Ovis aries: one gene and its partners. The protein of the gene in region 6 purifies or fractionates together with the protein of the main gene of each other region. This does not show direct contact. Links are inferred from orthologs where the notes say so. Each region holds a gene or a part of one and is shown on either strand. Other genes may lie near its edges. The genes, in order: SNRPB, PHF5A, RBM17, HNRNPC, SNRNP200, SF3A1 and ZC3H18.

Region 1 (4,156 bases), on a different chromosome or scaffold from region 6:
TAAATAAAATATTTGACATTTTGATTCCACTTGTTTAACTTAGCCTTAATAGAATTCTAGACTTCTAATTTATATTCACTTAAAATTCTGAAATACTTCCATGTATTTTGGCATCTAGAAAAAAAGTCTTAAAAGTTTATTATCTTAGTGATAAAAAAAATTTGAATTAGGCTTGACACTTCTAATTCAATTCTGAATATATAAAGAAATATGCTGCAAAAAAAACAAGAAAATTAGCGTGTAATATAGTATTACTAACTAAAGTATAGATTTTGTCCAAATCTCAAAAATACAAAAAAAATTATGGAAATTCAAAATATAAAAAAATTAAAACATTAATTTTCTTTTTTGTGTCTTTACCTGAATGGTCATATTTTCTGTAATGCATTGGAAATACATTTTGTGTGTGTGTGTTAGGACATTTTAGTAAAGGTTATCATTGAAAAAAAAGTCATGGGACTGGATGGGAGTGACTGATAAATTCATTCATTCAAATATTTATTAAGCCCTTGTTATGTGCTAAGCAGTGTTCTAGGCACTACAGCAATGAACAATGGACAAAGAAAAATTCATATCCTTTGAACTCACATTCTAATGCGGAGGGATAATAACACACATACAGTATGTTAGCAATCAGTGTTAAGGAGAAAGGTGTTAATAAAACAGGGATGGGTGGGAAGGTTTCAGTTTTAGAAAAGGACGGCCAGGAAAGCCCTCAGTGGGAAAACGTTACTTGAACTTAATTCATGAAGGTGAGGCTGTCAGCCGTGCACATACATGGACGACTAGCATTCTAGGCAGAGGCAACAGCAAAGGTGCTGTGCAGAAGCAGGTCGAGTAAGTTCACGGAAAAGCAGGGACTGTGGCTGTAGACAAGAGATGAAAGTGAAAGTCGCTCAGTGGTGTCTGACTCTGCGACCCCATGGGCTGATACAGTCCATGGAATTCTCCAGGCCAGAATATCGGAGTCAGTAGCCCATCCCTTCTCCAGGGGATCTTCCCGACCCAGGAATCAAACAGGGGTCTCCTGCATTACAGGCAGATTCTTTACCAGCTGAACTACCACGAAAGTCCTGTAGACAAGAGAGCCGGGATAAAGTGCTGGGAGATGAGGACCGAAAGTTAACGGGCTGGGACGCGGGGGAATGGGTGGTGAAGGTGAAAAGGAGCAGCTCTAAGTACCGACTGAAGCCGGGAAGCAGTCCAACAAAGAGGATCCGAAGATAGCACCGCCCAAAGTTCCGCCCTGCCCTAAGCTCATAACTCAGCGCCTCGGCCGGAACTCAAGGCCCAACTCCGGGACCGGAAGCAGCTTGCTACCCGACCCCATTTTCCCTGCGGTTACATTTCCGGTAGCGGCGGCGGGAAGCGAGTTACTCGCGGGCTTCTAGGCCTCCACGAAGACGAATCCGGCGGGAATCTGAGCCATCAGAACCGCCACCATGGTGAGGAGGCGCAGACCAGCAGCACGGGAGCTCCTGAGCCTCTTGTGGGGTGGGGATCGCGATTAACCAGGAAGGAGGTCATGGGTTGGCCGCTCAGGGGGTGAAGGCCCGGGCCGCGGCGCCTCCGTCTGCGTAGGAAAGACTCACACCGTCGTCCCTCGGTGGACTGGGCGAGGGGGTCCGGGGTGGGGGGTGGGGTAGAAGGCTGGAAATAAGGGACCGAGGCCAGAAGTCGCTTGGTACGCGCGAGGTTAGGGCTGGGTCTCTCCAAGCCGCTGTGGGATCCCACAGGCGCTGAGTAAACTTTGCGGCATGTATGTGTGTAGGGGGCTTCTGAGCAAGCACTAGCGCCGTAGAAGGACTGAGTAAGACCGAGTGAGAGGCTCAGACTTGTGAAGGGTGAGGGTCCGAGGAGTTGCGGAAAGACGTGGAAGGACTTGTGGCCGGAAACAGTGTTGATTCTGGTAGATGGGGAGGAGGGAACGGAGGATGAGTGAGGGAGGAAAAGTTTAACTCTTTTGTTCAGCATTTATGCTTGAGTACGCCTGACTTTTCAGGCCCTGGGGCTACACAATGAAGTGTTTCCTTTCTTCACTGCGTTCACTCTTATTTGGAGACACGGGTAACATAATTCGGAGTGGTAATTCAGCGTTAAGTAAAAGTAACGGCGGGGAGCGAGATAAGAATGTTTTCTAGACTCGGTGATCCCTGTCAGAGTCCTAAGACTCGGGCGAAAATGGGAAAGAATGGTATAGATCCGAAGGACTGCAAGAACAAAGCGTGAAGGGTAGCATTGTTGAAGATTCTTAGAGGGGAAAGGGAAGAATGTTGGTGGGAGGAAATGGCGGGAATCTGGTTATTAAAGGCTTTACATGCTATTTAATTTTGTTAGTGGTAAGGGATGCCATTGAAGGATTTTTAACAAGCAAAAGGACACGTACTTATTTGTGTTCAGAAAGATAACTGTTAGGTAGCTGTTATATATCGGGTGAACCGGAAGCAGGGTGTAGTTTAGAGAGTTGGTTAGAAAAGTAGGCACTGGATTCAGGCTCACTAGCTTTCAGCACAGCTTGACCTCTTACAGCCATGTGACCTCATCTGTAAAGTCTGATTTTAAGGATTAAATGAGATAAGTAGTGCTTGTGGCAGTGCCTGCCAGTCAGCGCCCAGTGCGAATTAGCTGTAGAAGACAAATGGAGCTGTAAATGTTACTGTAAAGGTTCAGACACGAGTGGTTAGAAGCTGTGGTTACAGTTTGGTTAAAATGGTCATGTAAAAGAAACTGCACCGCATAACTTGAGTCTCCAGGGTAACAGGAGTCAAGATTCTGATCCATGCATTTGTACGTTCAGAAAACCTGTGTTTGTTCAACCTCACAGAGATGAATAGCAACCACAGTGCCTGGTACCTCAAAGGCTCTTGGATGAGTTAAGACTGGTCAAACTAATGGGAGGCTGATATAACAAATGTTTATTCATAGAGATGTAACTGCCAAGGGCACTTGACAGTCCTCTTGTGAGGTCTGTATACTCTATTTTAGCACAACTACATTTGAAGCCAGGCTGTGAAGGAGAAAAGGTTGTTGGGTTAAGGAGTATAGCAGCTTGTATATTCTCATTATGTGTTCAAACTCATTAGCACTCTGGTTACTAGGAAGTTTTGACGTTGCTGAATATAGTCTTGGAGGCACACTAACAAATCACTGATTCGGTGGTTCCATTCTCCTCTTCTAAGCTGTTCATCTCCTTTCTGATAACAGGCTCTTCATTGATTGGGTTCTTAGTGCCAGTCCCATTCCAGCTCTTTTACTCGGTGTTTTTTTTTTTTTTTTTTTTTTTTACCTCAGTCTTTTTAATGGGATGGTGGTGTTCCACAGCACTGGAGTCACCTGTAATCTGCACAGTGGTAGATGGCCACTGATCTCTAATATGCATGGGGTTCAGTAGTTTGGAGCCATCTTACCCTCTCACTTCTGAAACATAATACAACATTGAATCCAGTTCAGTCCCTCAGTTGTGTCCAACTCTTTGTGACCCCATGGACTGCAGCACACCAGGCCTCCCTGTCCATCACCAACTCCTGGAGTTTACTCAAACTCATGTCCATTGAGTTGGTGATGCCATGCAACCATTTCATCCTCTGTCGTCCCCTCCTCCCACCTTTAATCTTTCCCAGCATCAGGGTCTTTTCAAATGAGTCAGTTCTTCGCATCAGGTGGCCAAAGTATTGGAGTTTCAGCTGCAGCATCAGTCCTTCCAATGAATATTCAGGACTGATTTCCTTTAGGATGGACTGGTTGGATCTCCTTGCAGTCCAAGGGACTCTCAAGAGTCTTCTCCGACTCCACAGTACAAAAGCATCAGTTCTTCTGTGCTCAGCTTTCTTTATAGTCCAACTCTCACATCCATATATGACTACAGCATAGACAAAGATATGCAACATAGACAAAGGCAATTGTTATATGAAAAAGATGATTTTACGAGAAGGGACAATAACAGGTCAGGTTTGAAAACAGGTGAGAGAATTCCTAGGAAATGGCTGTGGTTGAAAGATAGAACTGAGAATACTGAGAAGGACAAACAGAAAATAAGGCTGCAGCAGAAGTTTTAAGGAAAGGCAGCAGTTTTGTGGGTCCAAAAGAGCTGAGTCTCATTCCTGCTGATTTCTCCTTGCAGACGGTGGGCAAGAGCAGCAAGATGCTGCAACACATT
Region 2 (4,320 bases), on a different chromosome or scaffold from region 6:
CATGAGCAGGGTATGATTTGACAGTCAAAGACAAACGAAAATCAGAGTTTAGGATAAGAGAATGTTCAAATCGGGGACATCCCTGGTAGCCCAGTGTTTAAAAATGCAGGGGACATGGGTTTGATCCTTGGTCAGGGAACCTAGATCCCATACCTTGGAGCAAGTAACCCTGCACACCACAAGACCCAGAGCAGCCCCCCAAAAGAGAGAGAACGTTCAAATCACCAACTGAAATTATGTTTCTGGTACTTTATCTACGATCGTTCTCGCTTCCCTAAATAACAGAAGACTTTACTGGTGTGAAAAATAGGTTTATCTGCTCTAATATGTCCCACTTATTAGAGGTAGACAAAATCTAACTGCAAAGATTCTGAGGTAGCTGAATCGTCTCTCTTCAACACAGGCACATCACAGACTTATGAAAGGACACCACAAGGTTTAGTCAGAAAGCTTGGGACTTGACACTTATTAGCTGGGAGAGGGGCTGTAAAATGGGGATAATAATACCCCCTAATTAACAAAGCTATTGAAGAATAAGGGAGATAAGATCTATATAGAAGGGGGATCTTCCTGACCCAGGGATTGAGCCTGTGATGAACCCGAGTCTCTCACACTGCAGGCAGATTCTTTACCATCTGAGCGAACTGGGAAGCCCTATATATATATATTTAATTATCTACTATTTGTAAAAGGGAATATAAAGAATTATTTATCTTTTGGGAATTCGCTGGCAGTTCAGTGGTTAGGATTCTGCATTTCCACTGCAGGGGGCCTGGGTTCCACCCCTGGTTGGGGAACTAAGATCCCCAAAGCTGCCCAGCATGGCCAAAGAATTTCTTATTTCTTTTTTGCCTTATGTCTTATCCTAGATTAGGTAACCAGATACCTCATATTAGCCTATTGTTACTGTATCACACTTTGTTTTACTGTCATAAGAACAGAAGGTGATTCATGGGTTGTCCTCCTCTCCTCCAAGAAACCTGTTTTTGGTACAGATCTATAACTCTCTATTGTATCCTGGCAACTGGCTCAATTGCATTTGCCAGCATACAATGTTAAGGGGAAAAAAACGTCCAAACAGAATCCCAAGCAATTCTGAAAAATCAAAGCAAAAGTATTCTCTAGCTACTCAGAGCTGAAATCAACTTGAATAGTCCCAAATTCAGAAGTCAATACATCCACCTGAACAGTCCTTAATGATAATAAAGAGAATTACTGAATGGCTATTATACACCTTGCACCATGCTAGGACTTAAAAATGCAGAATATTGGGAGTTTCCTGATGGCCTAATGGTTATGATTCTGGGTTTTCACTGCTGTGGCCAGGGTTCAAGATCCTGTAAGCTATGTGGCACAGTTTAAAAAAAAAAAAAAAGATATTGTTTGTGAATAAAAATGAGAGAGACATCAAAGGAATAGAGGGCTTTCGAAATTGCCAGTGTTGACCAAAATTTGCTTCTCTTGCACTTTTGTCCTTGATACAAAATAACTGCCTTTTGTTGGGCTACACCCAGTTTGGCTCACAGACACTGAAGAAATTATAACCTAGATGACTAAATGAACATATTCATCCACGGACCATACAGTTTGCTGTGGATGGCAAAGTGATACTAAACACAAGGGAAAATCAGATGAAAAGCTTCCTATATATACTCACATCTTTCTCCTGGATGGTGCATTCCTTACAATAATAGGCATCTGAAACTCCAGGGCCTCCACAGATCACACAGCGTCCCTGGTAAGAGCCATAGTTACACTCGTCGCATATGCGCACCAGAGTGCAAGGACGCACATAGGAGTCACAGATCACACACTTGCCATCACCTATAAGAAGAGAATGGAGTTACACCCATGTGCAAATACCTCAAGTCCTTTGCCCTCCTCCCGCTATGGGGACTACACCAGTCTCCTAACAGTGACTTGAGGACCCTCTACTTTGGCATCACAAAACCTGACTTACCTCGTGTCCATCTCAATCGCTACAACACAAAGGAAAAGTTAATCAACTACTGGGTAAAGACCTTAGAGGAGCACCTGGTAGATACGTCTATATAAATTAGTTGGCAGAACGCTGTATATGTCGATGGGGTCATGCTACCTCTGGTCCAAAGCTAAAGATTCTCTCAAAACCTAGTGTCTAAAACGTGCAAGCTGGAGTGAGGGTGGTGGCCTTTAGTTGCAGCCTGGCACTGTGTTGACATTCTTTGGGTCACGTCTACTCCAAGTCCTCCTAGTGCCACCGCTGAAAATGCTCGTTTGCTTGCTCTACAGAAACTGAGTGGGCCAGGTGGGCTAATTGGGGAGGCGTGTTCCACTCACACTTTTCACACAGTCTTCCAATGGCTGCAAGATAAAAGACGGTAAAGAGCACAATTAGGATTAAAGTTTTGACGAAGAGGGGACAAACATCTTCGAGCTTGCGGTGGAGACAGGAGCAGCGACTGCAGTGAGCCCTGAGGGGATCTATCCATCTTATCCTCTTAAACTTCAATCCGAACCAAATCCAGAGCCTCCTGAAGCCCCTCACAGGTCCTGCGCAAACTAAGAATTTCTCCCAGCCCCATTCCGGCAGCCTGCCTCCGGCTCCCAGCACGCGAGCCCCCGCCCTCTTTTCATCAAGAGACCGCAAACGCGCGCGCTCCTGCACTTTCAACCTAGAGGCGGGAAACGTGGCGCCTCCCGGGCAAGACCCTAAGCAAGTGACGGGAACCCCGGACCTCTTAGGTCCTAATACCATTCCCACCAAGAGAGCCGGGGGCAGAAGGCTGCCTCACCAACACCAGCCTGCTTGCGGCAAAAGATCAAGTCCGGGTGATGCTTAGCCATAGCTCCCTCTCAAACCACCGGAAGCTTACAGAACTTCCGTCCGACCTTTAACCTCCGTTGCTCCTGCCTCTTGGTCGCCGTGATTGGTTCTCTAGACGTCCGTCAGCGTTTATACTCTTTGCACCAAGCCCCGCTGGTTCTCGCGAGTTCAAATTTCAAAGCCAGGTTTCCGTCCTAACGGGGGTCAGGTCCTGGCAGGTGTATGAAAGTTATTTAAAAAAAAAAATCACAATCTTTCCAGAACTAGAATGGGAGAGGCAAATTGCAAAGTACAAAGGTGAAATTTTCACTTCGATAAGACATCTCTTGCCCGGCATCTACTTCCTTAAGTGTTTTTTTGTAGTTTTGTCCTCTCCCCTTTCGAGTCCTCACTCGGGAACTCCGCCCAAGGCGCTCGCAGAAGTAGGCGCCTCGGCCGAAGCCCAGCCTTCACGAGGCCGCGTTTCTCTTCAGGCCACGCCCCCAGCCTGAAGGCTTTAAATACTCTGAGTGGCACGTCACTTTCAAGCGACCTCATCTTTGTCAGTGCACAAAATGGCGCCTTACAGCCTACTGGTGTCCCGGCTGCAGGTGAGCGAACTGAGGGCCCTCTGGGTTCGCGGGGGCGGGGTGCCTCCTCCTGTGATTGCGGCTGTGGGCGAGGCAAGACGAGGCAGGCCCGACCTCCGGCCGGCTTTTCGTGTACCTGTCCCTGTCGCGGGGCCAGCACCCACGCTCGCTCCTCCGGCGCCCGAGGTCAAGGCGTCCCTGGCTCTGTCAGCTCTCTCTCTGCTCTGTCCCCGCCCAGCTGGAAGCTTGGGTCTAAGAAGCGGCAGCTAGGTGAAGAGTGGAGGCACCTCTTTCTCGTTTTCGTGGACCTCACTTTCTACCCCATAGAGTTTTGTTTTCTGTTCCTCAAGGTGAGGACAAGGTGACTGGGGGGGCGCGGTGGTTGTTGAGCCCGCTAGGCCCAGAACCCGAAGGCCTCACTTCTCATCTCTCAGCAGCGGAGACTTGCTAGCCAAGTGCATCAATCGTTGTCAAACCCGAAGTCTGGAGAAAAAAACTATATTCCATCTTGAGGGGATCCTGCAGAACATACAGCCAAGAGTTCGAGGGGACCTTCCGTCCCCAGCCGTAGTAATTAGTAATGATAACAGTAGTCTCACCTTTGCACAGATTGCAAGACCATTCCTCATCATATCGCTTAATTTATATGATCATTTGGTAGGATGATTATTCTCATTTGATAGGTGATGAAACTGCTAGGTAAAAGTTCCTGCTCTGAGTGTTACCCAAGTGCTGTGGCGTTAGCATCTGCCCTACTACCCCGCTGTTCTCTTTGTTCCTGTCACCCTGCCCTCAGAACTTTTTGAGCCAGAGTGTGATCCTGGAGCTGACATTTGTATTTGTGAGAGTACCAGAATGGAGTATTTTGAGCCCACTTTCAATTGCTTTTCAATTACTAGATGGGGTGGTAAAAGAATCAACAGTTTGACCTTGACAGTCCTGTTA
Region 3 (3,660 bases), on a different chromosome or scaffold from region 6:
TGCAGGGAATTCTCTGTCCCTGCTGAGCCAGCGAGTGTCCCAGAAGCCTTGAGGAGGAGAGCCGTTAGGCATGTCTCAGTTGTTTCGTGTGTCACTTGGAGCACTCAGCCTCCAGTACCCTGGGCTCTGCTTTATTCACCCTGCTTCTGTACTGCCTTGGGGCCTTTCATTTAGCAGTCAGCACTGAGCACTCAGGTCATCACAGGGTTCAGGTATAAAGTAGGGAAGGAACTCGGAAAGGCACCCATAGGTGACCAAGACTGACCTCAGCTCAGGAGCCGACAGCTGTCCTGAGGGAGGGAGGTGGCATCCAACCCCTCACCCCCGCCCCACGCACCGTGGAACCAGGTCAGCCGAGGTGTTGGGGTGTCGGGGTCTTAAGATCCATGCACAGAAGGGTGGAGAAGTGAGCAGACACAGTTTTGCCCCAGGTCAGATGTGACTCTGGGGGAAAATTAGATACTTCCCTTCCTGTATGTTCCGCCTTCTCTTCCTGAGACATAAGACAGGCAAAACAGGATTTGTGTGACACAGTCTCAATGGCGAAATGCTGTCTGAGCCTGGGAACTGACAGACTTTTGCGATGTATTCATAAGTTAGCAACTCCTGTGTTAAGCATTTCTTTGTAGTTTAGGGTTTTCAGTCAGTTTTTTTTTCCCTCTTTCCAACTGTGAGAAACAGATTGCTGTCTTATTTTGAGAAATGAGCCATCTTTTGGGTTTCAGAATGTTGAGGTTTTCAAATGTGGCAGTAAGGACTTAGCAGCTAGAGGTGTGGACTTCTGACTCGGTTTGACCTGGAGCAGATTTATTTCTGGCAGTCCCCACCCGCTCCTGGACTGCTCTTGGCTTTACTGGTAGCCTCCTCCTAGGCTTCTGTAGCAGATACTGCCTTTGACCACCCTGGCGAGTGTGATAGGCTGTTATCCTAATGTCAGAAAGCAAGGAGGAACTAAAGAGCCTATTGATGAAGGTGAAAGAGGAGAATGAAAAAACTGGCTTAAAACTCACATTCAAAAAACTAAGATCATAGTATCTGGTCCCATCAGTTTATGGCAAATAGATCGGGAAAAAGTGGAAACAGTGACAGACTTTATTTTCTTGGGCTCCAAAATCACCGTGGATGGTGACTGCAGCCATGAAATTAAAAGACTTGTTTCTTAAAAGAAAAACTATGACAAACCTAGAGAGCGTATTAAAAAGCAGAGACGTTACTTTGCAGCAAAGATCCATACAGTCAAAACTATGGTTTTTCCAGTAGTCACGTATGGATGTGAGAGGTGGACCATAAGGAAGGCTAGGTGCCGAAGAATTGATGCTTTTGAACTGTGGTGTTGGAGACAACTCTTGAGAGTCCCTTGGACTGCACGGAGATCCAACCAGTCCATCCTAAAGGAAATCATCCCTGAGTATTCGTTGGAAGGACTGAAGCTGCAATCCTTTGGCCACCTGATGTAAGGAGCCCACTCATTGGGAAAGATCCTGATGCTGGGACAGACTGAGGGCAGAAGGAGACGACGGAGGATGGTTAGATGACGTCACTGACTCCATGAACATGAGTGTGAGCAAGCTCCGGGAGCTGGTGAAGGACAGGGAAGCCTGGCGTGCCGCAGTCCACGCGGCCCCGAAGAGTTGGACACGACTGAGAGGACTGAACAGCAAGTGTTAATTGTTGTCATTTTTGCTGTCTTCATCCTCTGTTCTGCCAGGGATAGCGAGTCATTCACATGCAGATTGTTGATTCTCGCTTTGTGCTCAGAGTCATTAAAGATCACAAGGTGGGATACGAGGAAGCCTGGGTATTAATGCAGTCTAACCTTCTACTCTCCTGTCACATCTGTGAGATCATTTCTGGGTTTTCCCCCTTATTTGTAGGCATATAATTTATAAAAGGGTAGCTTCCCCGCCATCTACTCTGCCCCCCTGCCGCCCTGAAAAGGTGGTTAATTGTGCTAACTCACCTGGTAATAGGTGTTTTTGTAAGGCTTCTACTTTTTGTTAACTGACACAAAGTAGAATTTTTTTTTTAAATGAATATATGTAGTTAAGAATGTCCTGACTCTAGAACTTCCCTCTTCCCTCATTTTGTAGAGCAGAATGATTTCACTCCTGAATTACTTGATCACATGATCTTATATACAGGAAAATTCATGCTAGAGGTTTATTTTGAAAATAGCACATGGGTATTAGAAAGGGCACTGATTGGTGATACCAGGTGTCTTGGCTTCTATCACTGAATGTTCCTGGACGAAGTGATCTCATCAGATACCTCCTACCTCTGAAATTCCATGCCACTGCATATTCTAACATAGGAAAATTAGAAATCTTCACTACATTCTTGCATTCTTTAACCCCTATCCACTTTCCGTTTCAGCACTGAACTGAGAAGATGTCCCTGTATGATGACCTGGGAGTGGAGACCAGTGACTCAAAAACAGAAGGCTGGTCCAAAAACTTCAAACTCCTGCAGTCTCAGCTCCAGGTGAAGAAGGCAGCTCTCACTCAGGCCAAGGTGAGAGAAGCTGAGCCCACCTGTGAGGGAAGAGTCCCGGCAGGTGGCTGCCGAGGCATGAGAGCCACTCCTCTACCTCTGTGTTAAATATGTAGGGCTCATGTGTTGCAGGGGTAGGGAGGCTGGGGTAGAGAGGGAGAGAAATAGGAGTTGAAGGTCATTTCACATCTCCTGGAAATAGAACTGTTTGAGAGAATCAGGATGAGGAAAGGAGTACTCTTGATTTCCAGCAGTGATGCTGGTTTTCAAACTTCAGTATGTCCAAGCATAGAGTTTTTTCAATGTATTATTTCATATGAAAATTTAACAGCGGCCAATCTTTCTGTAAACCTTTTTATAAAAATCGAGATTTGTGTTGTAAGGAAAAGGAACTAGTATATGGTTATCGTAATAATTGAATTAAAAGGCTATTGTTTTAAGATTGTTTCTCTCATATCTGACAGGTTTGTTGCAGAGACCAAAAAAAAAAGCTTTGTTACAAGTAATCTGAATTTTGATTTGAAGCCTCAGTACACTTTTCTTGGTTTTTGATGATTTTAGAGCCAGAGGACAAAACAAAGTACAGTCCTTGCTCCAGTAATCGACCTAAAGCGAGGCGGCTCTTCAGATGAGCGGCAGATCGTGGACACTCCACCGCACGTGGCTGCAGGCCTCAAGGTACACCCCCCGCCCCCAGCACACACCCCCCTGGGTGGGCTCTCCTGCTTTCCAGGCTGCACTTTACACACGCCGCTGAGCATACCTCCTCCGTAGGCCTTGCACTCTAGTCAGGATCATGTTCAGTTTAATTTTTGCTCTGGTTTTATCCACTTTAAAACAGTTAAATCTGTTTAAAGCTCAGTAGTTAATCAGAAATTGGAGGTGGGAGAAAAGAAAAGCAAATGACTTAAGAATTTAAACACTTGGTATCGTTTTCCTCCTGCATCTTCTGTCCCCCCCTTGCGCTTCTCACTTAACGTACTGCGGTGTCCACCTGTGTCAGAGAGTACAGGGCCCCACGCTCAGCCAGTGGCTCCACTGCGCTCCCCTGTGTGGCAGGCGCTGAAGCTCTCGGTGAGGTTTCCTGGCCAGAGGAGCTGATCCTTCTGCAGTCTGGTAGTCTGGCAAGAGGGAAAACCACTTGGTTCCCCACAAGGGAACTTTTCTGAG
Region 4 (3,660 bases), on a different chromosome or scaffold from region 6:
AAAAAGGTGCCAATTGGATCACAAAACATTGACAAAAAGGCTTAAGGAAGTTCCCAAACTTTTTCATTAGGCCTTAAAAGCCATTTTTGCAAACAAATCTCCACTTCAATCCAAGTTACTTGTCTCCTTGATTCAACACCCACCCCAATGAAACCTAAGTTGAAGTGTATGTTGGTATGCATAATAATTTTGACTCAAAGATATTTATCTAGTACATTCTAGGGGTTTTGTGAAGGCTGCTGTGAAACAAAGAATTTGAAGTAAACAATTATAAAATACAAAAATAAAAAAATCAGGGTATTTATTTTTTCTCCAAATTCCTGGTTTAATAAGGTCTTGTTTATTTTGAGAAAAAAAGGTCCCAAACATCAGGCTGTTCACAAAAATAACCCACAGTATCAACTTTAGAAAACAAATCTTAAGACTATTACACTAGTTATTTTTCTAGAGGATGCACTTAACATGCCAACTCTCATTCACAAAAATACATTGTTACATTTGTGTTGAACAGCCCCACACAGCACTCTTATGTGGGGTATAACACACATACCTCTAACTCAAAGCTGCTCTCAGGTTCTACTCAACTAATGAGACTGCCTTTGTAGTTAGGGAAGCAACTATTGTATGAATGGAAAGAACTGTACTCCCTGTATAACAAGAGATTATTTTGGAGACAGTTGATAAAAACCATACATCCTTTTTATTGTTAAGTCATAAAGAGGTATCAAAATTAAAAGCAAAAATTACAGGGTAAGACTTAACGTAACTACTAGGAGGGTCAAAGGAAGTGAAAATGGGACTAGGCGCAGGGCAATATGAATTAATGAACATGGGAAGGACAAGGATGGGGAGAACAGTGAGCATGTGCTGAAGATACTAGGGGAGAGGATCTGGTGAAAATTTTGATCTTAGACAAGCGCCTAGGTAAAGAAATAATGGGACAAGATTTCTAAACCCCGCTATGTGCTTAAGAGTCATCCTCGCCATTGGCGCTGTCTCTGTCATCCTCTCCTTCCTCAGCCTCTTTTTCATCATCCTTGATCAACTCCAGCTGTGAGAAACAGACACAAATAGGATGGAGTTAGAGGCACTCCATGTGTCCCTGATCCCCCCTCCACCACCTCTTTCTTTCCTTTCCCGTGGTTTTCACCTGGTCATCCCCCCGATCTTCATTATCATCATCATCCAGTAGGTCCCCCTCCTCAGCAGAGTCATCTGCACCCCCCTCAGACTCCATCTTCACATTAGTCTCATCTTTCTTCAGGGAGCTGCTGCTCTGCTCCTCTTCTGACTTATCATTCTTCATCTCTACTGGGGATGAGAAGGACAAGTCTGTCTAGGGGCAAGTAATGTCCACAGGATGTAGACAATCCCCACTAACAGATCATAGAACTGCAGCACAAATCTAAATCCTCCCACAAAATGCCCTTCCCAATTCAAATTCCACAAGTTTCATATTCAATTGCTTTATACCCCACTATTTCAACATGTACTTGCAACTAGCTTAGGTAACTAACTCTACTTTACACCCAACAAGCAATAGGACCACTTACCTCCTTGTTTGCTCTGTTCTTTTTCAATTTTTTCCAGGCTTTCCAGTAAAGAGTCCACTTTTTGTTTTATCTGGGTTAACTCCTTCTTAATGGTCTGAAGGTCATCTCCTTTCACTTAATACAAACAAAAACCTAGATTAAAATCAGATATACTAGAAGCTACCAGATAACCAAACACATTCCCCCTCTAGACTATACAATGGTAGTCAACATGAGATCCTTGAAGAGAAATGGAGCCTATACCAGACTGTCCTAGTAATGACGTGGGGGTGGGGGTGGGGGGCGCCTCACTGATCTTTTGATTATTAGATGAAAATGGAATCTAATGAATCTATTCCCTTAGGAGCAGCATTATTACTTTTGTAAGCCTGCTAAAAAAAACCCCCTCAATTCTATTTTAAAGCATTTTCTAGTTTTAGAAACATTATTTTATACACTGAATGGGTGTTGCAACTCCTTAAAATCTAATGACTTTTTCAAATTACCAAGGCCTTAAGGACAAAGGCTGCCTAGAGCTGACCCCTTAATCACTATTTTCTCATCTTCCATTATTTGATTAAACAGTTATTTGTACAAACATAAAAGTTTTGAATATTAACTGCGTTGATCTCTGAATTTCAACATACAAGAAATATCAGAACCAGAAAGCTGCAGTAATAATACTTACACTTTCCAGACTTAGAAGAAGATCCCCGCTGTCCACTCTTAGAATTGAAGCCACTTTTGCCCCTTCGTGAGGTGTTTCCTGATACACGCTGGCGTTTTGAGGGCACTACAGCCCGAGCAATAGGAGGAGGAGGAGGAACACGTGCTGGGTAACTGTACATCCTATTGGATAAAAGGAAAACAGAATTTCTTCACAAAGAAGTCAGGAAGATTCCAACAACTGTATCCTTATAAAATGATATATATTATTGTCAATTGTCTAGCAATTAATTCTTTTTGCTATGTTAATTTCATTCATAAGGCCAATTTATTCTTTTTAATACTGCAACCGCACACATACACACAATGGTTGCCTTAAGCTCTGGACATAAAGGTTCCTGTGTACAATGGCATTATTGATAGAACCTTACTTTTTGCAATGAATGGCCTTTGCCTTTCATCTTATTCCTTTCATATATGTGCTACAGTATTATAAGGAAATAAAGTACTCACAAATGACTACAATTAACCAACTTTGCAAACAGTGCTCTTATTAGCTAAATCCCTGGCATTTTCATCCACAGAAGCATACAAATATTTATCACTAGTTTATAGTATTAGGTTGAACCATATAAAACTTCCATGATTAACTGCTTTTGGCCTATAGAAACAGGCATTTCATATGTATTAGCTGGGTGTACATACCACTATCAATTCTAACAACATTTAGCATAAGCTCCGCTCAAAGCTCCAACAGAGGATATTGTCTATCTTGTTCACCATTCACTAGTGCCTAAATTCATTGCTCAGCACACATTTAGCTCTCAAAAATTACATATTTTTCAACTGCTGCTTCCACTGAGTAAGTATTCCTGTGACTGCTAAAGATATACCAAAGTGATGGCATGGTACTGGTGCTTACATTTGTAAAGAGAAAAAAATAAAACAAAAACCTTCCCACAAGGACATTAGTTCCAGAAAGTCTTTTTATTCTATGTTATTCTTTTTACGAAAGCCTGTAGGGCATAAGTTAAAACGTACCAGTAGGAAAAAAAACTAATAATTCTAGTTCTGAACCACTTTATTGACTCCAAGGCCAAGGAACAATCCACCAACTGTTCCCCCACCTAACTTCAAAGCGATGAAATTTTAAAACCCTTATATAATGTGATGCATCTCCCTCTTATATGCCTCATCAGTAGCTAACAGTCTCCAATCCTGGCAGTGAGAACATTGATTCTGCAGTCTCACAGACATTTCTTTCTTCTGCTCAACCTTAACAATATAAAAATGTTTCTATTCTGTTTTAACAAGGCAAGTAGGTATGACAGGAACATTTTCCTAATTTAAGAGTATGTGTGTACTATCAAATAAGTGAGGGAATCAACCCTTGGTAAGTTATTAAAACAGTTTTGTTTTACATTCCAATAAGGAAGTTTGAATCCTAGGAAATAGGAAAATT
Region 5 (3,660 bases), on a different chromosome or scaffold from region 6:
GCCAGACTCCAGCCAATGGAGCGAGTCCACTGGCTCCACAGAGTGGCCATTTTTATTCCCATGCTATCAGATCATCCAAAGAACACAGCTCACAACAGTCAGGCTCCCTGGCGCCTTCTTGGGTAACACCTTCAGAGAAGCCAAAACGAGACACCTCCCCTCCCACAACCAACCCCAGTGCAGGATGCCTGGCCTCCAGACTTGGCCACCCAACACTGCGATGCAGGCCCAGCTCACCTTGTCTGTGCAACGTTTGATGTGCTCGGAGGTGAAGTGCGGCAGCTGTTTCAGGTAGGAGTCCTTGGACCACATGGCTTGGGTGGCCATCTGGGCCAGCTCCATGGCCGCCAGGGCCGGGCTGAGCCACCCGTTGCTGGAGAGGACGTCCACACAGGCCTGGATGAGCCGGATGGCCTGCAGAGGGCCCAGAGAGCAAGAGCAGGCGTGGGCACTGCTGCCGCATGGGCCGCCCAGGCCTCCATGCCCGCGGCGCCCTGCCTCCATACCTTGCTGAGGATCTCCTCTGTATCCGACTGCAGCTCAGCACTCAGCTGCATGCGGGACAGGTGAGCCTGCAGAAGCAGGTTGGTCTTGACGTGCGGGTCGTTGAACTTAGGGTTATTCAGTTTGTGGGGGACCTTCTGGGCCAGCTGGAAAGCAGAAGAAAGAGCGGTTGGTGAAGAGACCCGCACTCAGGGCCAAAGCACCACCCGCCCCAGGCCCACAACCATTCCACGCTAAGGAGGAGACGACGGCTGTGGGTGGTGGGGGTTGAGATGTGTGTGGAGTGTGTGAGGGAGCTCGGGGCAGGGGAGTAGGAGTTTTCCTGACCCAAGAGCGGGATCCTGTGCTCTGGGTATGGGGGCCGAGTTTCACGCGGCTCGGAAGACGCACTCCAGAAGCCAAGACGCGCTCACCTGCCGCAGGAGGTTGTCCTCGTGGTGCCGGATGGGGATGTTCTCATACTCGGCCGCGTTGGAGATGATCTCGATGAGCCCTCGCACCTTGGTCTTGGCGTTCAGGGACATACTGAAGAGCTCTGAGAGAGGAAAGAAAGGACATTTGGAGGAGTCAAAGCAGGCAGAGGAGGAGCAGAGTTAACTGCTGGGCTAGCCCGGCTCCACCCTGCAATGCGTCCCTCTGACAAGCACACGAGGCCCTGAAAGCCTCGTCATGTCGTCCCCGTGGCTGCAGGCCCTGCCGGCCCTCACCGATGGTGGTGTAATTGATGTAATAGTAGGCGGCGATCATGCCCAGGTTCAGGGGCGCCACATCCATCTCGTCCTCGACGCTGATGCACTTGGACTGCTCCAGGTCACTCAGGGTCTGCTCCACGAGCTCCGACAAGTGGTCAGACAGGTGACGATGGGAGATGCCTGTGAAGGTGACAGGTAAGCAGGGGTGTCCCGAGGAGACGGTGAATGAGGGCTGTGCCAACCACCAGAGGATGATGCGTGCAGTGCCGCCACCGACCCTGCAGGTTGTAGTAATTGGGGTTCTGCGTCATGCGGCGGTACAGGAAGGTCCAGGTGAGGTAGTCCACAGCATCCTGCTTGTTCTCAATGGTCTTGGTGACGATCTCGGCATTGAAGTGGTCATGCATACAGTGGTCCAGGTGAGACTCCACCGGCAAAGGCTCATACAAGAACTTCTTGAAGAAATCCTACGGGAAAAAATGTCAATGACGGTACAGCACACAGTCAATGACAGTACGGTCAGAGAAAGGCCAAGGGCAAATACGGCCGCCGTGCAACAGGCACGGCTCGTACGAAACGGAAGAGACCAGCTGCACAGACAAGGTGAGCTGGGTCTGGACCTGGAGAGCTGGGTGTGTATGCCGGTTCCCCCGGCATCACTGGTTATTTCTACCACGGAGGAAGGTACACTGAGCCCCAAGGGCTGAGCAAGGCATGAGGAAGACAGACCCAGCCAGAGGGTTAAGATCTCAATACACAGAGTCAACAGCAGCAACAAAAATCAAAGGCTACAAAATTCTACACAGGGAAAGGCTTGTTACAAAGGCAATGTGGAAAGAAAAGAAGACAGAGAGAACATGAGGAAGTAAGTAAAGACGCCTATGGAGAGAGAGATTAAAGAATCTGTTCCGAGGCCCAGGCTCGGAAGCCCGCGCCAGAGGCCGGGGCTGACCTTCTTGGAGCCCTGGCACATGATGACGCAGCGGCCCTCGTCATCCTGCAGAGGGCGGTTGGCGTGGCCCACCATCTGCAGAACGTCGTAGATGGGGTAATCTACGTACCTGGAGACAGAGGGAGAAGAGGACTCAGGACACTGCCTCCCTGAAAGTCGAAGAATAAAATGCAGATACAGGGAGACATGGAGAATCCCAGCAAACCTCTGTGAGTGTGCTCAGGCCCTAGTGTCACAGGTTATCTACAGACCAGTTTAGTTTTCAAGTGTTAAGAGTCAGGACTTTGTTGCTCAGGGTCTGTGAACCAAAGGTGTTAATCCATCTAATGTGTGTGTGTGTCTGTTCCCTCACGTCCACCTCCTTGCAACCCCATGGACTACAGCCCGCCAGGCCCCTCTGTCCATGACATTTTCCAGGCAAGAACACTGGAGAGGGCCAACATGTCCTCTTCCAGGGGATCTTCCCGACCCGGGATGGAACCTGCGTCTCCTGCATTGGCAGGTGGGTTCTCCACTGCGCCACCTGGGAAGCCAACCCATCTAACGGCGATAGCCAGATGACTCCATGTTAAAGCATTTCGTATGTCAGGCAGGCTCCCAGACCTCACAGCCATATGGTTCATGAGTGATCAAGCCCACCCCACTCAAATCCAAACCTAGGAGCAGCTTCAAGCATCAGAAATAAGTCTGCACAAATAAAACCCTGGCTGGGGTGGAATCTCAGCTAGCTATTTATTTCCCTAACACCTTTTCTTCACAACAGTGGCCTTCCGGATCTGCAGAGGTTACACTCATCTTAGGAGAGAGGGGCCCGTGAACGCACAGCACACTGGACTCACGCGTGGATCTTGCCGTTGTAGTACTGGGTGTCCATGATGATCACCAGGTGGGCGGCCACGTTCATGCCCCAGCAGAGACTCCGAGAAGCGACCACCACCTGGATGGCCCCTGAGCGGCAGAGGGGAGGAGCAGACTGAGCACAGGGCCCCCCGAGTGGGGCAGGACCCGCTGCCTCTGGGGCAAGCAGTGGCGCACCCTGCTCTATACTTCAGAACTCAGTGCAACGCTGGGCAGGGATAAGGTTTCAGGACTAAGAGGCTAACGCGGTACTACAGGAGGGTCTGCCTGTCACTGCTGCTCTGCTGGGGGGCTACCCTGCAGGAGACGAGGTCACCCTGGAACAGACCCCCAAGCCCAGAGAAAGTCAGGCTCACACTCCTGCCTGACAGGCAGGCTGTGCCGACTGGAACATGCTTCCACCAACTCAGCCACAGGCTGGCCAGTCCATGGCAGCAGATCGAGCTCTGAGGGTGCCCCACACGAGGCAGATTCAGGCCTGAGTGACAGCAAGTGATTCTGGCAGGAGCACTGCCACTGCGGCTCCCTAAGCACCGTCAAAATACTACTCTGCACGAAATGCCTAACGTCAACGAGACTCACCAGCACACAGCCACCCCAGGGAGACACAGAATGGGCTCCACCTCTAAAGCCCAACCACCCTGCTGAGTCTGC
Region 6 (3,660 bases):
GACTTGGGTGGAATGGTGGGCAAGAGAGACAGGTGAGGATAGGGCCCAGGAGGTGAGGCTCTTGTGACGGGGTGGTCACTGGTCTCACGGCCAGATAACCACAATAGCAGGCCATAGGCTGTCTTTCTTGACTTTGGCAAGAGCCCTTGATAGGAATGGGGATCAGATGGGAGGTGAGGAAGTGGGGGCGACAAGACTGAGGGCACACGGGCTGTTGAGCTACCAGAGGAAGGCGGGGGGAAGGTGGTGGCAGTCAGGAACGTGAGGGCGGCGGAGGAACTTTCTAACATGAGAGGCTTGACCCTTTGTTAGAGGAAGAAGCTGGTGAGGAAAGAGGATTGGAACTTACAGGGCAGTTAACGCTGAGCATTCCAATGGTTTCACCTCTTAAATATTGAATGGTGGTTTAGACCGTGGAATGGGTGTAGAGGGAAAGGGCATTCAAGGCAGGAGTGGCTAGCAAGGAGTTTCCCATTTCTTTATTCAGCAGACGGTGGTGAAATATCCTGTATTAGGCATATCCAAGGATGTGGGGATACAGACATGGCCTTCTGGATTCTGGTTTCTCAGAATGTGGTCAGATCCATGTCCCATCATTCCCCTGCCCACACATGTGAATCACCTGGACGCTTGGTGAAAATGCAGACTCCCGGTGTCACAGAGATAGTCCAGCGAGGGGGAGCCAGGGAGGCTGCTCTTTTCATTGGTCCCTGGGAGAGTCCCGTGCAGGCCCAGAGCAGTTGAGAGAAATGGTTCTTCTGGAGCAGAGGTTCCTAACTCCAGGAAGTCGTGATGAATTGAGCTGGAGAAAGTCTGTGTTCTCAGTAACATCCTGGAGGAGTTTAATTGTAGGCATCCGACACTAAACCAGAAACTTCAAGGCCTTCCTTTTCCTGTTTTCACAGCCCACAGAAGAAGAAGCATCTTCAAAGGAGGATTCTACCCCTTCCAAGCCCGTGGTGGGTATTATTTACCCTCCTCCGGAGGTCAGGAACATCGTTGACAAGACTGCCAGCTTCGTGGCCAGGTAACGTAGCTGCTCCTGCTCACGTGGGTCGCAGTTTTAGCACAGAACTGAATTCTCACGAGGGTAACACCTGGGTTTTTAGAGTGGCATCGGCTTAGGCCTGTCAGCTCATTGGAGACCACAGTGTGATGTAAGGTCAGCTGTGGGCAGAACTGGCATCTCTAACACGGTCTGGCAGTGGCAGAGGACAGGCCCACCCAGCTCCAGCGTCACCAAGAACCTGTGCTTCCTAACCAGGCCTGAAGAAGTGCCTGGAAGACTGTTCTGTCAGAGATGTGTGTCCGTGTCTGAGCTGCTGGCCTGAGGAAGACAGAACAGGGAGTGGACCGTCTCATGAGCAAGGACTGCGTTCCCGACCCAGCTGTGGAATGGAATAACATGCCCCTCGCAGAGTTACCGCGAGGCCGGAGAGAGGGGCCCAGGTGCAGTCGGGTGCATCGTGTGGCTGTCGGCCCAGATGGCATGGGAGTCAGCTGGATTTCCTCTTGTCCCTCTCCATTATACTTGAGCACACCCATGCCTCCTCAGATGGAGTCTCCTTGATAGCCACTTGACTCCAAAGGTCAACCATCCCTGGTTTAGGGCGTTAACTTTTGAACTGGTTGTCACTGTTTAGAAATGAGATTGCACCGTAAGTCTGGATTTCTGGCTGCTGCTGAATTGGACGGTTGCTTGCATGGAAACGGTAGCCGGCCTCGAGCAGAGCGCTGCCCGCAGTCAGGCCTGCGCTCTCCAGGGAACTGCACCTTGACCCCGGGACAGTGTCCCCGTCTAGGAGTGGGCTAGCTTTGGTTAAGGCAAGAACATCATTGAGTAGATGGGTTCTTCTTATGAAATGAAACATAGAAAGAGGTTCCTCTGGTTGGCGTCTTTCACTGTGTCAGGCTCCGTATAGATTAACCTTCCACATTTCCAAGGCTTTGATTAACCTGGACACTGGGTTAAAACGGCTCTGAGCCTGGTTAAACGTTATCGGGCCATGTCCGATTTAGGGCAGCAGGTATTGCGTGCATAACTTTAATATCTGATAGCAACACTCATTCTTCCCCTTTTCCCCGGATGTTCTGAAGACAATAAACAGGAAGAAGGTGTTAGAGGACGAATCGCCAGTCTCACAACCAGAGTAGATTCTCCCAGCTGCTTTCACTTTTTCCTGTTTCCTCCGGGCATTCTTTTTAGGCTCTTGTACTGGTAGAGGTGCTGTCACACCCTGCTTTTTCCCACTTGCCTGTGCTGTGCGCGTGTTCCTGGGTCGCCCCTGGTCTGCTGCATGGCCCCCTCTGGAGAAGACACACCATGTTGCGGCGTTGGCCTTCCTTGGCCTGGCCCACTGCTCTGTGTCTTCCTTGGAGGTTGTTCCAGCATTTCAGTTTGGCGCATAAAGCTGGGAGGAAGTCTCTGAGTATTTTCATTCCCTTTTTCGATGTTTTCCTAGAAGAAAACTCTGTGTGGCACATTGCTGGCCGAAAGAGCATTTTTAAAGATTTCTTAAACATTTTGCCAAACAGCTTTCCAGTCATTTTGTGCCAGCCACAGAAATAAGAATTCTTTCCAAGTTCCCTTAATAATAAATCTGTACGTCCGCATCTCTAGATCTTGACTTGGACTCGTGTCTGACTCTTGGTGACCCCCTGGACTATAGCCCACCAGGCTCCTCTGTCCATGGGATTTTCCAGGCAAGAGTACTGGAGCAGGTTGCCATGCCCTCCTCCAGGGGACCTTCCTGAACCAGGGGTTGAACCCATGGCTCCTGCCCTGTCTCCTACATTGCAGATGGATTCTTTACCACTTTGCCACCTGCGAAGCCCCGATGGCCTTGTAAGCATTTCTGAAATCTCTGAACTTGCTTTCGTTAGTGTTTCAGTGAAGGGACGGATCAGTTTCTCAGGCTGGGTTAAAGCATGCATGCAGGACCCTCGGCTTTACTTGTGTGGGGTTCGCATGTATTGAGTGAGTGAAATTCACCAGCCCAGTGTGGTTTTCAAAAAGGAGTTTTTTCTCTCTAGGTTTGGTCTTCCCTTCCCTGCATTTTCCTGTCAAGAAACTGGAGTGGAAATCACCCTTAAAAAGCCCCACCAGCTGGGTTGAGTCAGACTCATGGTTTTTTTTCCTGCTGAAATCTGTTCCTTATGTTGGAGAATACAATTCTAAACATAGCATTTAGCTAATTTAAAGCGACAGAGTAGCTTGGAATAAGCATGCCTGTCCTCTCGTCATTTTATATTTCGGATTGTTAGCAGGTGTGAGGTTATGGCTTAGGAGGCGGTGGTAGAGGAGACACCCAGAGCCCCTTTTTTAGCAGCCCTTTGGGTGGCGGCCTGGTTTAGCCGTATTTAAGTGGACATTGACCTTGTGTGGTTCACATTATTTTAAGGTGGGGGAACCCTTCCTCGAGCATGGGGTTTCAGCTGGACCAGCACACGGTCACACCCAGACCTCGCGGTGTCAGTCACGCCGCCGAGCGTGACCAGCACTTGCAGAGGAGCTGGCCGGGGTGTTGATGACGGCGGCTCAGGTGGGGTGCAGCGCTGCCTGCGGCCTGCCTTCTCTTCAGCTGACCAGGCCAGGGCGTGCAAGTCTGAGGACGGGGGCCGGCCTGGCTGCCCCGGCCTCTGGAGCCACCCCTTGATGTG
Region 7 (3,660 bases), on a different chromosome or scaffold from region 6:
CAGGTGCACAAAGGGCCTTTTGCTAAAAATAGCTCTTTAGAGGAGGGAAGATAGCTCTGTGCTTGGGGAGGAGGGTGAAGTGATTTCCATAGTACAAACTGGGGGGCGCATTCAGGCTCTGTGAGGACTTCTTTCCACACACCATCCAGCAGCCTTGGGATTTTAGTTTGAGGCGGCGTTTCCTGTGGTATTGGTATACAAGTGTGCACCTTTGGGGGATTTCTTTTGTTAGGTTTACCGTTAGTTTTAAGTGCCTGGAAGTTTCAAACTTGAGACACATTTAAAATAAGTGGTGTCACAAGTTCGATTTCTGTATGATCATCACTATTTTTTACCTAATAGTCTGTATGGACAATATAGTAACTTTTCCATGTCTGTAAAAAGCCGTCTTTGGGGTTCTAGAAGGGCTCGGACAGGAAGCCAGATGGATCAGCACAAAACTTGAGAAGGGAGAAGAGAACAACAGACAAATCTCTTGGGTCAGTGGAAGTCCCCAGTCAGTGTGAGGGCTGTATTCCAGAACAGAATTTGTGGAGTCATTTGGCGCTCAGGTCCTGTTTTCCTGTAGAACAATGGTGGTGTGTGGCAGTTAGTCCCAGGGCAGGTAGCAGGAGCTCATGTTCTGCATCGGGCTGGCTCCAGGATTGGGCAGCAGAGTAGAGACTCCAGCTTGGACTGCACTCAGTGGCCAGGTGACTCCGTTTCCTTCTCTGTGAGGGGTAACGTTTGTCTGAAAGGTCGATGTAAGAGACTAGATCCAGTGCCTGGCAGAGCAGTAGTCTCGCCGCAGGTCGGGTGGCTGTTGATTTTGCTGCAGAGTTGTTGAGAAGACGTGATCGTGCTGAGTGCGTTCTCTGGTATGTGTTGGGTGACTGGCCCCTGGGCAGTCTCGTGGGGAGTGGGACACGGGTGTTGGAAGCCATCAGCTTTGTCTCATCTCGCTGCTGCAGTGACTTTAGAGTGGATGCTGTTTCCCCATATTTCAGATAAAGAAACTGGCGTCTGGCAAGTTTACGTAATTTGTTCAGGACCCTAAGGCCGGCAGGCAGTGGAGCGAGGATTCGGGTTCTGATTCAGAGGCCCACACTGATCCCCATGTCCCAGAAAGACGTGGTCCACTTGCTTGAGTTTGTATATCTGAAGCTAGGGGCTCTTTTTCTTCCATTTCTTACCCTAGGATTTAAATCCAAGTTTGCCAAAATGCACAAAGCAATTTGGTTGGACCAATCATGACAATGGAACCTTTTGGCACCTGGGCCCCAGGAAGGGACTGTTATCATGTTACTGGCAAGCAGCCTTGGTGCCAGGAACAGTGAACAGGATAGTATGTTGCAAGGCTCAAGTAGCAGTTGTGTAGATTTTAAGCTAGTTTAAGAGGACACTTAATTTTGGTTACTAGCTGATTAATTTCAGAGGCAACTTGGTTCCCGAGGTTGCCGTTAGACTGTACTATGTGACAATCGGAATTTGTCTGAGGCTTAGTGACCAGTTGTATATGACTGCCTGCCTTCAGGGTCCTGGGGGCCAGCCTGAGCAACTGGGGAGTGAAAGTCCCTGCCTCTCTATGGAGAGGTTTCTTACGCACAGTGTAGTAAAAGCTATGCTAGGGTAGGCATAGGACATTGTATACCAAGGAAAATCTCATACATTTCATTGATATCAGCTAAGGTGGGGCTGGAGGCTGCTGGTTTGCCACTGGCCCCCGACTGGTTGCCGTATGCCCAATGCTGTGTCTGGAGGAGGTGAGGATGTGGGCCCTGTCTTGGTAGCTTTCTCACCTTGCCAGTCGCCCTGGTCTTGCTCTTCTAGCAAGAGGGATGTATGTGGTGACAAGCTCTGCCCTGTGCAGGGAGGCAGCAAAATACAGCGCTTTAGGACTGACTTTTTAATGTTAATAATTCCTTCAGCAGGCCTGCCTCTGGACAGTGTTGTTAGAAGGCCGCAAAGGGAATCGTTTTCCAAGCTGTCTACTTTTAAGTGACTTTAAATGGATTGGTTTGTAAATTCCTTTCACTGCTGACTATTTATAAAGTGATGAATTTTAAGTGATTTGTCCTTATGTTTGCTGAATTTTAATAATATCCGTTATCAGCAAAAAAAATTTTTTAACTATGAGTTCAGATACCAGTTCTTGATATGCGCATCTTTAAACACACATTCTCCTTTTGAAGGTGTACATTTAAAAGATATACTTTAAAACTTTGGTTATATATGAATGCATAAATAACTTTATATAATTATACAAATACGGGTATGTGTGTTTTCAGGTTTCATCAAGGTACCATGTAACATGACTGTGGCATACATTGTTTTTAATAAAAAGTCTTGAAGACTCAGGTGAACATTAAACCTTTCGCTGTTCCTGCTCTTGCACACCAGCTTGATGGTGACCCCTGGCCTGGTGGACGGTCAGTGTTCGCGTGTAGGCTGTGTGGTGTTGGTTGGCTATTTGGTGTTGATTTCGCACACGCACACGCACACACATACACTGTCTCACCCCAGCTTATGCAGCCTGTGTTTAGAACAAATGGGACAATTTTTTGTCTTTGCACATTAGGGTGGGAAAACCAGGAAATAGTCAGTTTATAATTAAATCTAGTTAGTAAAAATAGAAAAGAAATCTTCTAGGATGACAGTGTTTTTATATTTGAAACTACTGAAACACATATGATTTTCTGCCAGAGTTGTTTCCTGCAGCATGCCCATCCTGGAAAGGTACTTCTTGAGAATCAGGGTGCATGGAGGCCTTCTGGCGTCCCTTGGTGGCTCCAGAAGGACCTTCAGTTTAAGGATCACCCCCAGTGATTGTGACTTGGCAGTCACAGGCCTAGCCCTGGAGAGACCTAGGCAGGAGCAGAGACAGCCTGCGTCCTGGGGACTGTCCGAGGCAGTCGGGTTTGTGCTCCAGACCCTGTGGGGGGCTCCAGACAGTGGTCAGGTGTGTTGTCACCTTGTTCCTAATGCACATCCTCCTGAATTTCAAAAGAAATTACTTTAAGAGCCCAAAAAGCTGTTGTTTATGGTGCCCATCTTCCTGCTCAAGATAAGCTTGGGTTGCCCTGGGAGGAGGGGGGCATGCTGGGGCTCTTGGCACCCGGTGGCTCCCAGTGTGGAGCTCCCGATGCCCAGCTCAGTGAGCCCAGCCTGGCCCCATGGAGGCCTGGGCTGTGGTGCCTGGTGCCGCTGGGATGTGGAGGAGCCGGGCAGCCACAGGTCCAAGCCCTCTTGGGGCCAGGAGACCCACACGAGACTGACTGGCCCTTCTGCTGGATGCTCTGAGTGTGTTCTCTTTCTTTTGCAGAACCGTGGGTACTGATGGATGTGGCCGAGAGCCCTGACCGGGACCCTCGCTCTGCAGAGGACGAAGAAGAAGAGCAGCAGGGGCTCTCGGACGATGACATCCTGAGGGAAAGCGGGTCTGAGCAGGATCTGGACGCGGCGGGTGGGAGGGCTTCCGACTTGGAGGATGAGGAGAGCGTGGCCCCAGGACTGAGCCAGGAGGACGAGGAGAGTCGCTCCGACGAGGACGACCGGGACTCTGAGGCTCAGGAGCTGAGCAGGGGCCCTGCCAGCCCCCCGCGAGCCGAGGGGGACCGTGCCAGCGACCTGAGGGACGAGGCCTCGTCGGTCACCAGGGACCTGGATGAGCACGAGCTAGAT

Evidence for each region.
Region 1: the proteins of SF3A1 (region 6) and SNRPB purify together in Homo sapiens (affinity purification with mass spectrometry; 3 studies listed by BioGRID and IntAct, with this or other methods). This does not show direct contact. The link is inferred for Ovis aries from reciprocal best matches to the Homo sapiens genes SF3A1 and SNRPB.
Region 2: the proteins of SF3A1 (region 6) and PHF5A purify together in Homo sapiens (affinity purification with mass spectrometry; 3 studies listed by BioGRID and IntAct, with this or other methods). This does not show direct contact. The link is inferred for Ovis aries from reciprocal best matches to the Homo sapiens genes SF3A1 and PHF5A.
Region 3: the proteins of SF3A1 (region 6) and RBM17 purify together in Homo sapiens (affinity purification with mass spectrometry; 4 studies listed by BioGRID and IntAct, counting the BioPlex papers as one, with this or other methods). This does not show direct contact. The link is inferred for Ovis aries from reciprocal best matches to the Homo sapiens genes SF3A1 and RBM17.
Region 4: the proteins of SF3A1 (region 6) and HNRNPC fractionate together in Homo sapiens (co-fractionation; 3 studies listed by BioGRID and IntAct, with this or other methods). This does not show direct contact. The link is inferred for Ovis aries from reciprocal best matches to the Homo sapiens genes SF3A1 and HNRNPC.
Region 5: the proteins of SF3A1 (region 6) and SNRNP200 fractionate together in Homo sapiens (co-fractionation; 3 studies listed by BioGRID and IntAct, with this or other methods). This does not show direct contact. The link is inferred for Ovis aries from reciprocal best matches to the Homo sapiens genes SF3A1 and SNRNP200.
Region 7: the proteins of SF3A1 (region 6) and ZC3H18 purify together in Homo sapiens (affinity purification with mass spectrometry; 3 studies listed by BioGRID and IntAct, with this or other methods). This does not show direct contact. The link is inferred for Ovis aries from reciprocal best matches to the Homo sapiens genes SF3A1 and ZC3H18.

What each region holds. Positions count from the first base shown.
Region 1 is NC_056066.1:52,392,293-52,396,448, forward strand, and holds the start of SNRPB (small nuclear ribonucleoprotein-associated proteins B and B'), read left to right. Parts: upstream 1-1,339; 5' UTR 1,340-1,442; coding exon 1,443-1,445; intron 1,446-4,120; coding exon 4,121-4,156. UniProt on the Homo sapiens protein: Plays a role in pre-mRNA splicing as a core component of the spliceosomal U1, U2, U4 and U5 small nuclear ribonucleoproteins (snRNPs), the building blocks of the spliceosome.
Region 2 is NC_056056.1:218,391,166-218,395,485, forward strand, and holds the start of PHF5A (PHD finger-like domain-containing protein 5A), read right to left. Parts: upstream 2,862-4,320; 5' UTR 2,827-2,861; coding exon 2,775-2,826; intron 2,344-2,774; coding exon 2,320-2,343; intron 1,825-2,319; coding exon 1,658-1,824; intron 1-1,657. Other genes in the region: ACO2 (aconitate hydratase, mitochondrial), read left to right, coding at 3,361-3,396.
Region 3 is NC_056066.1:10,884,693-10,888,352, forward strand, and holds part of RBM17 (splicing factor 45), read left to right. Parts: exon of another isoform or gene 1-1,777; intron 1,778-2,373; 5' UTR 2,374-2,388; coding exon 2,389-2,511; intron 2,512-3,051; coding exon 3,052-3,168; intron 3,169-3,660. UniProt on the Homo sapiens protein: Splice factor that binds to the single-stranded 3'AG at the exon/intron border and promotes its utilization in the second catalytic step. Involved in the regulation of alternative splicing and the utilization of cryptic splice sites.
Region 4 is NC_056060.1:24,263,252-24,266,911, reverse strand, and holds part of HNRNPC (heterogeneous nuclear ribonucleoproteins C1/C2), read right to left. Parts: intron 2,382-3,660; coding exon 2,221-2,381; intron 1,668-2,220; coding exon 1,554-1,667; intron 1,312-1,553; coding exon 1,151-1,311; coding exon of another isoform or gene 1,082-1,150; exon of another isoform or gene 1,052-1,081; coding exon 968-1,051; 3' UTR 1-967. UniProt on the Homo sapiens protein: Binds pre-mRNA and nucleates the assembly of 40S hnRNP particles. Interacts with poly-U tracts in the 3'-UTR or 5'-UTR of mRNA and modulates the stability and the level of translation of bound mRNA molecules. Single HNRNPC tetramers bind 230-240 nucleotides.
Region 5 is NC_056056.1:104,085,682-104,089,341, reverse strand, and holds part of SNRNP200 (U5 small nuclear ribonucleoprotein 200 kDa helicase), read right to left. Parts: intron 3,097-3,660; coding exon 2,988-3,096; intron 2,258-2,987; coding exon 2,149-2,257; intron 1,664-2,148; coding exon 1,474-1,663; intron 1,377-1,473; coding exon 1,212-1,376; intron 1,040-1,211; coding exon 918-1,039; intron 651-917; coding exon 507-650; intron 415-506; coding exon 238-414; intron 1-237. UniProt on the Homo sapiens protein: Catalyzes the ATP-dependent unwinding of U4/U6 RNA duplices, an essential step in the assembly of a catalytically active spliceosome. Plays a role in pre-mRNA splicing as a core component of precatalytic, catalytic and postcatalytic spliceosomal complexes.
Region 6 is NC_056070.1:69,359,932-69,363,591, reverse strand, and holds part of SF3A1 (splicing factor 3A subunit 1), read left to right. Parts: intron 1-905; coding exon 906-1,027; intron 1,028-3,660. UniProt on the Homo sapiens protein: Component of the 17S U2 SnRNP complex of the spliceosome, a large ribonucleoprotein complex that removes introns from transcribed pre-mRNAs.
Region 7 is NC_056067.1:13,383,365-13,387,024, forward strand, and holds part of ZC3H18 (zinc finger CCCH domain-containing protein 18), read left to right. Parts: intron 1-3,301; 5' UTR 3,302-3,315; coding exon 3,316-3,660.